2 linked regions of the Neurospora crassa OR74A genome follow. The protein of the gene in region 1 interacts with the protein of each later gene in a pairwise test. Links are inferred from orthologs where the notes say so. Each region holds a gene or a part of one and is shown on either strand. Other genes may lie near its edges.

Region 1 (7,069 bases):
AAAACACAAACGACAATATGGTATTTCCAGAATGATCATGATGTTTCTCAAGCAAACATTTTGAAATACACGGATAGTTAGCGTTCATTCCTGGGTCCTCCGATGCTGAAGTCGAAAAGGGGTTATGTGTTCTCTGTTTTTGTGGGAGGGGTTAGGGTTATATGTGAGGTACACACTAGCAGCCATTGACCTCGTAGCACCAAGGCACCTTTCCCAAGACAAAACACAATACGTGACAACTTCTGGCAAACCGACCACGGCGACGACTACTATGCTAACGTCATCTTTGGTTTGCAAAGTGTCTGATCATTGTTCTCAAAAGCAATTTCATTCTACTTCAGATTCGGATGACATCTATACGCTACTCGGTAGAACCAACCGATAGAAATGAGCGCCGGTAACATCCGATGAGACCATATTACTCGTCTCGGCGTCAAATCCAAAGTCGCTTTTCCCAACACCAAGAAGACCCTGGGTTTCGACAACAATCATTTAAATCATGATTCAAGCAATCTTCTATGCCAGGTTCTTTCCAAAAGAGGGTACATATAGCCTGCCTTGCCCGTCACTCATCAAAGTCATTTGCCCACCCATTTTTATTGGGTCTGGCCAAGACAGCCCAAAGACGAAGTGTAGTGAATCTCAAGCTAACCAGTGGCACTTTTCCCTAACTCAGGAACCAAAATCGTCGCACAAAGTCCACCGGGCTCAATCGTGCCAGTTCCACTTCCAGAAGGCACCAATGGTCCCCTCAACAGGAAACCATGTCTCTTCGACTTCAGCGTGCTCCAGGAGTACATCATCCCGCGCAAGGCCTTCTGCAACCGCTTCATCACCGTCAATGACCCGGACGGCAAGTACGTCATCCTGGGATACCCCGTCTCCATTCCGGACCCGCGGTACGACCGGAACGAGTTCATTTTCAACTTTGGGCTCGTCATCAGTTGCGATGTGGTGGACCAGATCCCCTATGAACGCGTCGTAAGGAGGCTGGCGGCCACCTTTGCCGAGATGGAGAAGCAGGACGGCTACCTGAGCCAGGACGCGGCCACGAGGGGCGGAGCGGTCGCGGTTCATGGGTATGGCAATGGCGGGGGCCGTTGGGTGGATGGGGACGGGAATGAAATGGTGAGTATGCGGCGGCCGATAGAATCGTTGCTGGAGATTGTGAAGGAGGATCTGAATAACTATGGAGAGTGCATGATTCCCATTGGTATATCTCCCTACCTATTCACCCCCCTTCATCACCTTAGTTACAAAAAATGCTGACCGTTTCAAAACAGACGACGCTAACACAATCAACATGAAACTCTTTCCTCACCACGTCAACCCCCCTGAAGTCAAAGGCTGGCACGTCCCCGTCGCCAAGATGAAGTTCGCCGACGTCGTCGACCCAACCTGGGATCTAACCCTGCAGCGCGTCGTCGCTCATATCGATGGCGTTTCCGACGTGCGCCGCATTGCTCTGGCCTCCGGCGTCTCCCTCGAGCTGACCCAGCTCGCCCTCCGCCACTTGCTCTACTACGACACTATCCTGCTCCTAGACATGTTCTTGTTCGGCGCGTGCTACGCCCCTCGCCCGGGCATCCACGACTTCATCGCCAACGTAGGCGGCATGGTCGACGAATGTGCTAACTACGTCTGCGTCGGACCTATCGATCCGTCTCCCAGCAGCAGCAACAACACCGGCACCGGCGCCGGACCTTCTTCTTCTTCTTCTTCCTCCGACAACTACCACCGTCTCCGTTCTGTGTCAGGAAGCACCACTTTCCACAACCACAATCCCTCCAACCTCTCCACCTCTGCCAGCACACGCCACAGCCACCTCTCCCCCTTTGGCCTTGGCCCAGGAGGTGGTTCCGACCGCGATCCCAGCCCTTACGCCCAACACCACCTCTCCCCCGTCCACGAACGAAAGCCCTCCACCTCCCCCCGCAACCCTTCCTCCAACATCCACTCCTCCTCCTCCCCACCGTCTAACAAGCCCCCACCACCCAACGGATACCGCATATCCAACTACATGCTAATCCGCCTAATGACTACCTTCTGCGTCGGCAAAACCGTGGCCGAATGGCTCAAGGGCCATATGGATTCCGGCTTCGACGTCCTACGGTACGTGGACGTTCGCCGCTTAGTTCAATTTGGCGTCATCAAGGGGTGTTTGTACAGGGTGCACAAGTATGTTATCTCGAAACAGTATCTGGCTGCGCTAGCTACGGGGTTGGCTAGACCTGTTTCGCCATCCGACACCGGAACTGGCACAGGCAAAGGGAAAAGTGGGAGGGGGTATGGCGAAGGGGAAATGGGGAGGGAACATAAAGTGGCGGTGCCGGGCGGACATTATGATACCTATCGTGAACCCGGGAGTCATGGGGGTCCGGGGGGGAAGGGGTCGAACAGCAAGAAGATGGCGATGATGATGAAGGCTAGTGGGGATCCGTTGCAAAAGTATATGGATGGACGACATTGTTTTGATCAGATCATGACGGAGAGGAACATGACGGACGCGGAGATTATGGATAAATTGAGGAACTTTCCGGTGCCGGCTGGGGATTTGACGGTGCTTTATCGGTAGAGGGAATGATAGCATGCAAATAAGAGTTGATTAGTGGTGTTGATAGTTAGCCCGGCTACTGTATGCGAACTCGTCTTCTTAGAGGACAAAAGAACCTTGTTGATTCAAGCAAGAGGAGACATGTTTGATAAAGATCGCTAAACTGTAAACATGTAAACCTCCTTACGTGAGGACACCCGCTGAAGGGGTGTTGTTTTGAGCATCGTCTCTGTGCTGGACTGTCTATCGTCCTCCTGAGCAACCATTATCGCTAGATATTTGATTAAAATATATCTAGCACGGCCCAACAATGACCTCGCCAGGAGATAACACTGCACTCCCTGGACATCCTTCAATCCACTATCCCCTCGACATTCTGTCGTTCATTGTGAATACCGCCGTATCCTTGAGGAACAGCAGATAACTGTCAATCTCCGGTCCACATCTCTGCACCGTCTAGTAAAGAAATTTAAGTTAAGAACCGCCCAGAAGATGTTCGATAGCACCCTGTACGCTACCACCGCTGCGGCGTAGTGCAGCAACGTTCCGATCAAAATCGAAGAAACCCATATCGTTGAGTTGACGCAGCTGCTCAGCATACCTCTCCTCTGGCGGCCTGTTGTCGGGAGGAGCAACGGGATTTCCGCCAAAACCACCCAAACCACCGCCACCAAATGCCTGCATCATCTGCTGCAAGGCCTCAGGCGAGATAGGGGGCAAACCAAAAGGGTTCGCGGCACCAGCCTGACCAGGCTGACCAGCACCTCCAAGCGCTCCGAACAAAGATGCCAACGGATCTGCTTGCTGCCCAGACCCCGAAGTGGCGCCAGTAGCCGGAGCAGATGCGGCATCCCCGCTCCTGGCACTCTCGGTCGAAGCTCCGGTAGACGCAGGCGAAGACCCCGCGGGGTTTCCAAAGAGCGCGGCAAAGGGATTACCTGCTGGGGGAGCGCCCGCCGGAGGAACACCAAATGGAAGAAACATGGCGAACGGGTTCTGCGCATCGGCATTGGCGTTGTTATTACCGGCACCGGTCGTCGCGTTCGGAGTGTTGTCCGTTACCCCGGGCGCTGGAAAGGCGTTGGCGCCTCCGCCCATCATCCTACGCATGCGTGCCGCCATGCGAAGTGCCTCCGGGTTCGTCATCATGTTGCGCATCATCGGAGAGTTGAGAAGCTCGCGAGCGCGATCAGCGGGCATGTTGGCCAACATCGGGTTGGAGGCAATCATCTGGTCGATGACGGCGGGGTTGTTGAACGCCTCGGCCATGACCTGGGCCATCGCTGGGTTCGAGAGCATGTTCGCGATTTCATCCTCGCTAGGAGGCGCGCCCATCTATAAAACATCATTAGTAAACAGCTATGTTAAGGGTCCAGGGGGCCGAGAAAGGGGTGGCGTACTCCTCCGTCCGGCCCAAACAGGTCTCGGCTTGGTAGCGGCACCTGACCGGCAAAGCGAGCGCCTGTGAGGCCAGCTAAAAGGTTATTCGAGGGAGTGCCGGCAGCCATGTTCTGAGGTATCGCGGGCTGAGCGGGTGTCGAGGTTGAGCCACTGCTGGCTGTCGCGGCGCTGGCTGGACGCTTAACCATGTGCACTGTGTTCATGTGCTTGATCTTGTAGAAACTAAGAACTTCATCGTCCTTCATGACCTTTCCGGAGTAGATGAGGCGTTGCTGCTCCGGCGAGATGTTCTCGTATTCCTCCCCCGCTAACAGGGTCTTGAGCTGAAGGACGGTCGCAGACTCGGCAATGGTGACTGTGTGGTTCTTGTCGCCTGAGCATTTTACTTTGAAGGTAATCTGGCCATCGCCGCCAGTATTTGAAGCCTCAGCCATGATTTCTATCGCTTTACGATTCGGCAATGAAACGGTTAATGGCGGTCGTGGATGATGACGTTGGTCTCAGGGGAGCTCCGATCGCCCCACGTTCGAGTTCAGCACTTTGTGATGGGATTATGTGAAAGCCTGCTGCAAAGTCGTTCGTATGGAATTACGATAGCTTCGTGTGCTGGTGAAAGTTGAGGAATGGTGATGCTACGGAAAAGGGTTGTGTTGGGAACCAAAGTAATTGAGTTGTTGTAATGTTGGAAGGTCACAGGCGGAGGCCGATAAGCGCTGCCGCCAACAGTGGCAGGTGGGTGGCATGGCATTAAGAGCCCCTCCACGGCAGGCAGCAGACCCCACTACAAGCCGTCATTAAGGTATACTAGGTAGTGTAGTGTTCACCGAGGTTCTTGCCTTTTTAGGCTTCACTTCTGTCGTTGAACACGACTCCATCCCTAACCCTACCTACCAAGTGCATGTTACAGTACCTTAGTACCCTACTTCAGCTTTCCCACAGGGCCTCGACGTAACGAACGCCGGTCACTAGGCGTATACATAGGTATACATACTACATGGAATCGATGGATGATACGAACGGTGCCTGATTGCAACTTCTGCGTGCCATATAGATGGTGAGCCACTATCTTGTCACCTACTAGTTCCAGTCAGCTGCGACACCTTGATAGTACTCTCCTGCTCTCACACCCATCCGCTTCTTTGAGGTTCTATCGGGCTCTCGGCATCCACATGACCTGACACCTGACCGGTTCCCCCCATCTTATCAGCTTGTCCAGTAGCTTTTGTTATCGCATGTGTGTGATGACAGGGTACTGTCGATTAGCTGCTGCTTCGAACCAAATCCATGTACCTTCTAAACTAATGGACGAGGGCGAATCGTCTCACTCTTTCCCTTGACAAACCTAAACCTCTTCCCTTCTCTGGTTTTGAACAAACTTTCTTCAGATGGCAGACACTTCATCGCTTCTGCCTACACTTTTATTCTGGTGGATGAAAGAAACTCAACGCATCAAACCTCCTACTTTGATGCGCAATCAGCATTCTTGAAGGTTCAGTGACCCTCAGCCGATAGCCGGTTTGGCGAGAATAATCTTTCGTTGATGTCTTCCGTCAAACCTGCACAACAAAATCGTATTCGCAAACTACTCACGTTTTCGGTTGATCAGTAGCGTTTGTTGTTATGGCGGCATTATATGGGCCGTCGCGTCAACCTCAGCGAACTAGGAGGTAGAACATATGGACTATACCAGACAGGTATGTACAGCTCAGAGTGCATGGTCCGTGGACCATGCCAGGATACTCCAGGTAAGTGTATCAAGGATATCGAGCATCTGCTCCTTCACCGCCTTGGTGTAGCCTTGGTGTACATCAAGACACATCTCTAACCGCACTTTAGAGCATACCGCCTAGGCAGTTCTTCTTGCTGCGGGCCAAGCAAGGATACGACGTGCTTAAGCGACCATTGTCTTCCACAAACCTTTGAGATCATGGAACTATTACACTATGATAGGCTGTCCGTCAATGCGAGATGTCGACGCACTAGCAGCGAGTGCCCTCACGTTGATGAGGATTCTTCTTCGTTCGTCCGTCTGAAGTGGAGTTGGCGTGGGCAAGGGCATGGACTGAGGAGGAGATCAGCGCTTTCCCAAGAGATGGCCCGTCAAGGTAGAGCTGCTACGCGTGCGACGCCGGTCATGTGGGTTGTTGTATACGGGATTCAGCGGACAGGCGCTGCCTGAATCGATCTCGTGAAATGCAACCTTCCGGTTCTGGGCCTCGAAGAGATCCAATCCCGGGCTTCGTTGAGGAAAGGCTGTGCTGCCACGTTGGACCGAAACTTATCGACAGACGACACCAGGATCCCAAGGATCTAATGGAATCTTCCTCGCTCGTTAGCAATGTCTCAAACTGCAGTTTTCATGGAAGGTCCCGCCCGCTGCATGTCTTTCAGCTACAGATGGTCTTTTTCCCATGCCGGCAAGCCACATGAGAAATTGGACGCAATAGGAGTCATCATATGGACATACGAGGCACTCTTCGAGGACTCCTGCTCTTGAACTTCTATGACAACCACTCGCGGTTCGGGGCAGGGCGCATCGGAGAAATACCGACCAGCTGAGAAGAGCGACCATGGCACGACTGGCGGTTGTGCAACTGGAGGTGCAGCATCAAGTACCAAGAGGTCGCGTGCAACTTTCTGTCTCCGAACAAGGGGGTTTCCAGCCATGTTGCTGCACTGACTGAAGGAACACATGACAGCTCTCCACGGTTGAAGCTAGACAGCCGACAGCAGGCCATTTCAGGCTGGTTGCCGGACGCCGGCGGGTGTGCTTAAATTTGTTGAGTTGACTGCATGATGAGTCCTCTAGTGAGCCAAGAAGTGGCCAGGCACGAAGCGGATGGAATTAAGCAATGCTGTCCGTATCCAATACTTGCGTTGAATTGGGCACCTGCATCAACAGCAGCCTTGTGTAAGTGACTCGGGTTTTAGGAGCGGCGTGGAACACGTCATAACATGGCGAGGACATCGATTTCGTGGGGGCACACAAAGAAAGAGATCGGAGGTTGAGGCGCTGAGACCAAGTGTCGGACACGCAGGGAGGCGTTGTGTTTGCTGTGTCGAGGTAGGTTGCCCGAGGGTGTGAGGTTGAGGTTCCTACTGCCTGTATTCATG
Region 2 (7,373 bases), on another chromosome or scaffold:
ACCATCATTGCGACGAGATGATCTGCCGGAAAGACGCGCGCCCCGAGAACGGGTGTCTCCATTACGTTACGCCCTGTCCCTACTGCGAGATGGCCATTACTTTCAACGACCTCGAGAGGCACTACGACCAAGAGTGTACGGGACAAGAAGCCGAGTGCCCGCACTGCGACGCTGTCCTCGTCCGCCACCGTCTGGCCAAGCACATTGCGACTGACTGCCGCGAGGTCGAAACACACTGCCAGTTCCGGAGCGCTGGGTGCAAACAGGTTGCGCGGAGGAAAGATATCGAGGAGCATCTCAAGAACGGGTGCATCTATGAGGCGATTGCGAATCTCATGCAGGCGCGGGAGGAAGACCACAAGATTATCAATGAGTTGAAGGGACGACTAGACGCTCTAGACGGACGAACACGACATCTGGAAAGATATGGTGGTGGTAGTGGTGGTGGTGGTGGTGCTGGCAGCAGTGGGGTACGGGAGTCATCTGCATTCACCAGAGCAGCGCCGCCATCGTCAGGCCTAACCGCTGATGCCCTCAACAACTTGAACCGTATGCAGTCGGCCACGTCAGGCTACGCAGACATCGACGAGGCCAATCACAACATCACGCTGGATGACCTCTTTGAAACTTTCGACCAAGAAAACAACCACCACAATGACAGCAACTACAGTAGCCCACAAGCGGCGGCGGCAGCGATGGCGGCGGATGCACCCCCGGCCCCGTGGGCACACAACAGTGGCGACGGGCCGTGGGAGTCACCAGAGGATTACATGCTTTCCCAGTTTGAGGCCATGGAGGCCAAGATTGAAGACTTGCGCAAGATGATGGTGGAGCTTGACGGGAGACACACAATGAGGCTGGTCAATGATACGATGAGGATGAATGAACAAATCGCCGAGCTTGGGAGTAAAGTGGGAGTATTAGGAATGCATACTACGTGGTTGATGAGCATGCAAAGGCAAAGTCGCGGACAGCAAAATGGCTCTGGGTCAACGCCCGGGACTACGAGATCAAATATTTCTGCTAGTGGTGGTGGCAGTGGTGGCGGCAGTGGCGGTACTGGTGGTAATAACGAGGAGGGGAGAGGCAGGACGAATGCGGCGGCGGCTGGTGCTTCCAACTCGTCAAGGACGGCTACACAGACACAGCAGAGTAGCAGAAATGGTGATGGAGAGAGTGCGAGAGGGAGGTATCTCAATACCAGTGATATCCCGCCGTTGAGGAGGAGTAGCGTGGGGAGGGGTGAGAATCCACCTCGACTTTGATGGATGTTTGGGTTCGCCTTCCTGGGGCAGACACTGGGGTCATATATTTCTGCTGCTGTGCCTCAGTGTCTGAGCCGTCCCGAACGGAAGTAACAGTGTCTGTTGGTTTTGGAAACATACCATAATGGTCTGAAGGAGAAGAACGGGTATGCATAGGTTTTGTATGTTGGCGTTTGGGATGGATCGGGAAAGCACTTGGAGGTTGTCTTATTGCAACGTCGGGCCTTGGTCTAAAGCTTAGATAGCCTATAGACCAAAGAATATAGGAGACGAATCAAACCTCTGTGTTGGAATTTGGCACGCTTGAAAGAGCTAATAGCAACTGAAAGAACGGCTACATGGTCTAGGTCTGTTTCCCATGGTGTTTTGGACAAGACGGCTTTCAAAGTATCTAGAATGCTTTGACTTTGTTGGCTCCCCGTAATCTTCTTACCTATTCATGTAGATGAGTTGAACAATGACAGCTGCATTCCGCATTTACGGCGAAGGAAAGTCACTGTCACATCCAGCGTTATACTAGTGATTCTAGGGTCCTTCCATGAAAAACGCCAACGAAGAATTAGTTATCATCTTCTTGTCATTCAGCCCGTTTCTGCTTCATTAGGTTGCGAGGTTACCTCTACATAGAAGTACCCCTTATGGTAGACTACATATGTAGTACAATGGTGCTGGTTTGTTTGTTAGCTTGGTACCTAGAGGTACTCCTGGTACACTGGACGAGATCTCCCGTCTTCCGAATTGTCCCAAACCGTACAAGGACTGAATGAAAGGCATGAACAAGATCCAATTCGTTCTCTTTCATTTTGGAGAAATGGAAGCATATTCCCAGTCTGAAAACGCATAGTCTAAGAGGTAGCTATAGGGACGGGAAGTTGATCCAAAGACCCGCGGGAGCTAACAATCGAACCAGTATTGCCTACAGTGCAGTAAATCATGTCCCGCCAAAAGCACTAAATGTAAGTAACGTCCCGAAATACCCCGCCAACCTGTGAACTCCAGGAGCTCCATGCAGTAGGCTTGTTCGGGGCAGGCAGGCTCCACGTCACATTCACAGATGTCAACGTAATCTTGTCAGCGCAAAAGGTGCATGGGAATTGCTACTTCCTCCTGATCACTATCCGAGGGCTTTCCGCTAGAGTATGCTAGAGTCATTCCTTATTACTACCTAACTTTGGCACCCGCACTATCACATACTACTGTGGTTAGCTCAAGAGCGAAGTACCAACCTTGAGCACCCGCAGCCGAAGACAACCTCCAGCTTCGGACAGTCACCTCCATCCTCCTTCTCCTCATCCTTCGCCTCAACCTCCCAACGCACATCCAGCTTTACGTCGTCACCGCCAGCTTGAGCCCTTCTTCTCCTTAGGCTCTCTCCGTCACGATAATCACAATATCCGTACATCCTTAATCCCTTTCCTCTTCGCCCAACGACGACGACAAGATGGATCCGAATCAGCAACAGCCGGCGGCCACGCCGGATGCGCCTGATAAAGAGACGATGGAGCAGATCCGTGCCCGACGACTGGCTAAGCTCGGTGGCCCCAATGTCGCTTCTACTACATCGCCAGCTGCGTCCTCTTCCACGCCTCAGCCTGGCACCGAAACCCCTCCCGCTGCTGCTGCTGTGGCGGCGGCGGCGGCGGCGGCGAGTTCGTCAAAGATCGAAGACAAGGCACCGCGAGTTCAGCCAAGGTCGATAATCAAGCCGGCGTCACGAGATGTGCCAGAGCCACCACCAGGTAGTTCCGCTTCCCGAAAGAGAGAAAGATCCCTTTCAAATATTGATGATATTCCATGCCCACCAGCACCGCGAAAGCAATACAGGGAACAGACGCTCGAGGAATGGACCGACAAGCTACTCACCAGCATCCTTCGCGTGTCTCTCGATCCGAACCAGACCTTCGATAGCAGTGGCCATAACTTGACCTTTCTGCCAGAACTCAGCCAGGAAATTCGGGGCGAGTATCAGGAGCCCTTGCTGTCGATCGACCGATTTCAAGAGGCCGTTATGGAGGCCGGAAGGATCTATCCGCCGCACAAGCCCCTATTCGAATACTTCCTGGCATGCTGGAAGCGGGTCACCAGATATAGGATATTGAGGGCGTCGACTCCTGAGAAGGAAGAAGCCCTCAAGGAGGCCAAGCGCTTGTGCTTCTCGAACTGCATCTTCGCCGTTACTATGCCCGAGATGTTTGGGTATTTATCCCCCGTGTCCTCTTTACAGTTTGCTCTAGCTGACATGATCCAAATTTGAAAAGTCGAGAACCAAACCCAAAGCACGATACCATAGTCCCCTACATTTTGGAAGGTGTTGCGAAGGAAGAAGGCCTCGACATCGAGTTTTACAACGAGGCCATGACACGGATCGAGGACGACGATAGCATTGTACCTCTCTTCACCAAGGCCATGGTGGAAATCAGCACAGCGCTGTCTACCAAAAACATGAACGGCGATTATCAGCCGCACGTCCAGGTGAGTTTGACAAGCGACTTGAACGAATTGTGCTGAGCGTTGACGTTGGAACCTCACAGGCCCTCTTCACATACTCGAGATATCCGGCTCTCGTGAACGCTTTGGCGGAACACCCTACTTTCCTTATGGCGCAATCAGCCCCCAACATTGAACGGTTCACGCTGCTCGGGCCATTCTTCCGCCTGTCGCCCTTACACCCAGAGGCGGCCAGTTACGACTTTGCCGCACCAAGGACTCTTGACAAGGGCCGAATTGGCACAACCCAACAATCGTTACAAATGACGTTGGCTGCCCATCAGGAACACTTGACGACGATAGCTAATGCCTTCATACGAGCAAGCACTAGCTCGAGAAACAAGCTCCTGGACTGGTTCGCCTACATCATGAATGTCAACCATAAGCGCACAGCCACTTATGTCGACCCCAAGACCGTTTCGTCGGACGGCTTCATGGTCAATGTCACTGTCGTCCTCGACAATCTATGCAAGCCTTTCATGGATAACTCCTTTACCAAGATTGACCGTATTCAGGTCGACTACTTCAGGCGGAAGCCCAGATTGGACATCAAGGAAGAGACCAAGCTCAACGCTGACCAAGAGCACTCGGACGCGTTTTACTCTACAAAACTCGAAGGGGAGAACAACTTTATAACAGAGGTCTTCTTCCTCGCTTTGGCGGCACATCAGTATGGCACCGAAGCCACCCAAAACAAGCTAAAGGAACTTGACAAGCAAATTAAGCATTTCCAAAAGAACTTGACCCTTATGGAGGCTGACCGTCCCAACATTGTCGCCAATCATCCGGAACGAGTACCTATGCTAGAGGCGGCGCAGAGGAGACTGATCAAGATGCTGGAGAGCGCCATGTCGGCCAAATTTGCCATCGAAGGCATTATGACCGACAAGACGCTGCAAACGCGGTCACTACAGTTCATGAAGTACACGATTGTGTGGCTACTGCGAGTAGCCAGTCAGTCCGACTACGTCCCATGGAAGAAAATCAGCCTTCCGCTGCCTGAAACTCAGCCAGAAGCTTTCAGGTGTCTTCCCGAGTATGTTCTGCAGGTAATTGTTGATAACTTGAAGTTCACCTTCCGCCATAGGCCAGAGGTCATGGTCTCGGCCATTGGTGACGAGGTCGTTGCTCTATGCATAACGTTTCTGGAATCCTCCGAGTACATCAAGAACCCGTACTTGAAATCGTCGCTGGTTACCCTCCTTTATCAGGGCACCTGGCCGGCATACCATCTTAAAAAGGGCATTCTTGGCGACATCCTTACCGGCACCAAGTTCGCGAATGACTACCTGCTACATGCTGTGATGAAGTACTATATTGAGTGCGAGTCGAATGGTACCAGTTCCGCGTTCTACGAAAAGTTCAACATACGTTTTGAGATCTTCCAGGTTATCAAGTGCGTCTGGACCAATGACCATTACAAGAAGCAGTTGACAGAGTCCAGCAGGTCAGTATATGTTTTGTCCTACGATCTCTTTGCTGAATCCGACTAACTCGACCTAGGGTGGACCGCGACTTCTTCGTTCGTTTTGTCAATCTTCTCATGAACGATGCAACATACGTTCTGGATGAAGCATTGAGCAACTTCCCCAAGATCCATGACTTCCAGCAAAAGCTAAAGGACCCCAGTCTTTCGCAAGAGGATCGCGAAAAGATGGAGAGCGATTTACACGACGCGGAAAACAAGGCCAGTTCCTATATGCAGCTTGCGAACGAGACAGTCGGCATGATGAAGCTCTTCACCCAAACCCTGGCTGAGTCCTTCACCATGCCAGAAATCGTTCACCGCCTGGCCGGTATGCTCGATTTCAACCTTGACCTCCTCACCGGTCCTAAGAGCCGGACGTTGAAGGTTGAGAACCCCGACAAGTATGGCTTCAACCCCAAGATTCTGCTACCGCAGCTCGTGGACATCTACCTGAACTTGGGTTCCTCGCCTGCCTTTGTCGAGGCCGTTGCTGCAGACGGCAGATCCTACAAGCCTGAGACCATGGCGTCTGCCACCAACATTCTTCGCTCAAAGGCACTCAAGAATCCTACCGAGATGCACGCGTGGGAGGTGTTGTGCAAATGCTTCGAAGAGGCCAAGGCCATCGTCGACCAGGCTGATCTCGACTTTGGCGACGCACCGCCCGAGTTCGAAGACCCCATCATGGGCGACTTGATGAAGGACCCGGTGATTCTACCCAGCAAGCACGTTGTCGATCGGTCGACTATCGTGCAGCACTTGCTCAGTGACCCGAAAGACCCGTTCACGAGACAGCCCATGACTATTGATGATGTCATTCCGGATACGGAACTGAAGGCTAAGATTGAGAAGTGGATGGAGGACAGGAGGGCAGAGATTCGCGGCAAGGTCGAGGAAGTGACGCCTGCTGTTGGTGATATTGCCGGAGCGGAGGCGGCGACGGGCGGAGATGCTATGGACACTACCGAGTAAGAGGTCGGGGTGGATGTTGTGGTTACATGCCTACATAGACATACATTCTTGGTTTGGTAGGTATAACATGAAGCATCAGCGTAAATAAGAGATAGGAGGAATATAAGAAGCGTAAAGAAAATCGCTATGGATCTTGGCTCGTCCCTGACAAATCTGTTGAGACCCAGTTAGTCTGCACAATTGTGGTTTGTACATTATGCCTCAGGTGTACTTTCATAATATTTCTACGCATATTGTTTGTACCTTTGAACCTGAATTTTAGGCATTTCATGTATAACGAAAGGCATCCCGAAGGGACTGTAGCTAGCGTGTTTGCATAGTATGATGATTCCTACTACGATTTTCTGGCAGCTTTCCTAACCACAACGGACAGTATTGGACTGTTCCTGTTCGGTTTATGCTCGCCCGCCAAGGCTACTTCCAGAAGTTCCATCAACTTTGTCAAGGGCAAGACATTATTCATTATAGGTATAAGCTTCATGGAATTTCCCATCAGCATACAAAGGACACGAACGTACATTGACCACGAGAAAAAGAAAAAAGAGTCTCCGGTCGTTGACATGAGATAGTAACCAATTTGTAAGCAACACTTGGTTTCAACGGTCTGATCCACCTCATGATATTTTATCACCGACAAACAGACTGTAGTGTGTAAGTACCAAATCGACATTTGGCTACTCAATGAAAACTCGATCTTGATATAATATTCAGGTCCAATCAAGTTGTCGCACCAGACCAGTCCGGGTGTTACAATGAAAGGACGAAACGGCGTTAACAAGACGGCAGTTTCGGAGTTAGGTAGCAGATAACAAATGTGGTTTATCGCCCGCCGTAGTGTACCTAGTGTACTGTAGCGTAGTAGTACAGAAATACTGTGTAACCTCGGGGCAAAAAAGTAGCGAGCGCACCTGTGCATCAATGACGTTTTCAATGGACCCCACGCTAAACGGAATGTCTCCATTACAGTAGTATACTGTACGCAGTAGTGTAATGACCCCACAGTGCTTAGGCGAGCTACGGGGCGAGCTTAGCAATTGCTTGGTAGGTAGGTAGGTAGGTAGGTACCTAGCTTGGGAAGGGGCGGGGTTCCGTGTTACATACAGTTCACATTACATATCCGAGGGGGAGGAAAGTTCGAAATCGTGGGAGGGTGCCTGATGAGGGGCTGACTTCGAAATGGG

The links.
Region 2: the proteins of NCU03028 (region 1) and NCU03357 interact in a two-hybrid assay, tested with the Saccharomyces cerevisiae proteins (2 studies listed by BioGRID). The link is inferred for Neurospora crassa OR74A from reciprocal best matches to the Saccharomyces cerevisiae genes DSK2 and UFD2.

Annotation. Positions count from the first base shown.
Region 1 is NC_026501.1:8,390,108-8,397,176, forward strand, and holds NCU03028 (deubiquitination-protection protein dph1), read right to left. Parts: upstream 4,659-7,069; 5' UTR 4,390-4,658; coding exon 3,955-4,389; intron 3,890-3,954; coding exon 3,029-3,889; 3' UTR 2,576-3,028; downstream 1-2,575. Other genes in the region: NCU03029 (hypothetical protein), read left to right, coding at 500-542, 677-1,213, 1,284-2,575. UniProt on the Saccharomyces cerevisiae protein: Involved, with RAD23 in spindle pole body duplication. Involved in the ubiquitin-proteasome proteolytic pathway.
Region 2 is NC_026502.1:986,098-993,470, reverse strand, and holds NCU03357 (ubiquitin conjugation factor E4), read left to right. Parts: upstream 1-2,706; coding exon 2,707-3,461; intron 3,462-3,523; coding exon 3,524-3,737; intron 3,738-3,796; coding exon 3,797-5,199; intron 5,200-5,255; coding exon 5,256-6,192; 3' UTR 6,193-6,322; downstream 6,323-7,373. Other genes in the region: NCU03356 (hypothetical protein), read left to right, coding at 1-1,265. UniProt on the Saccharomyces cerevisiae protein: E4 ubiquitin chain-elongation enzyme specifically involved in polyubiquitin chain assembly.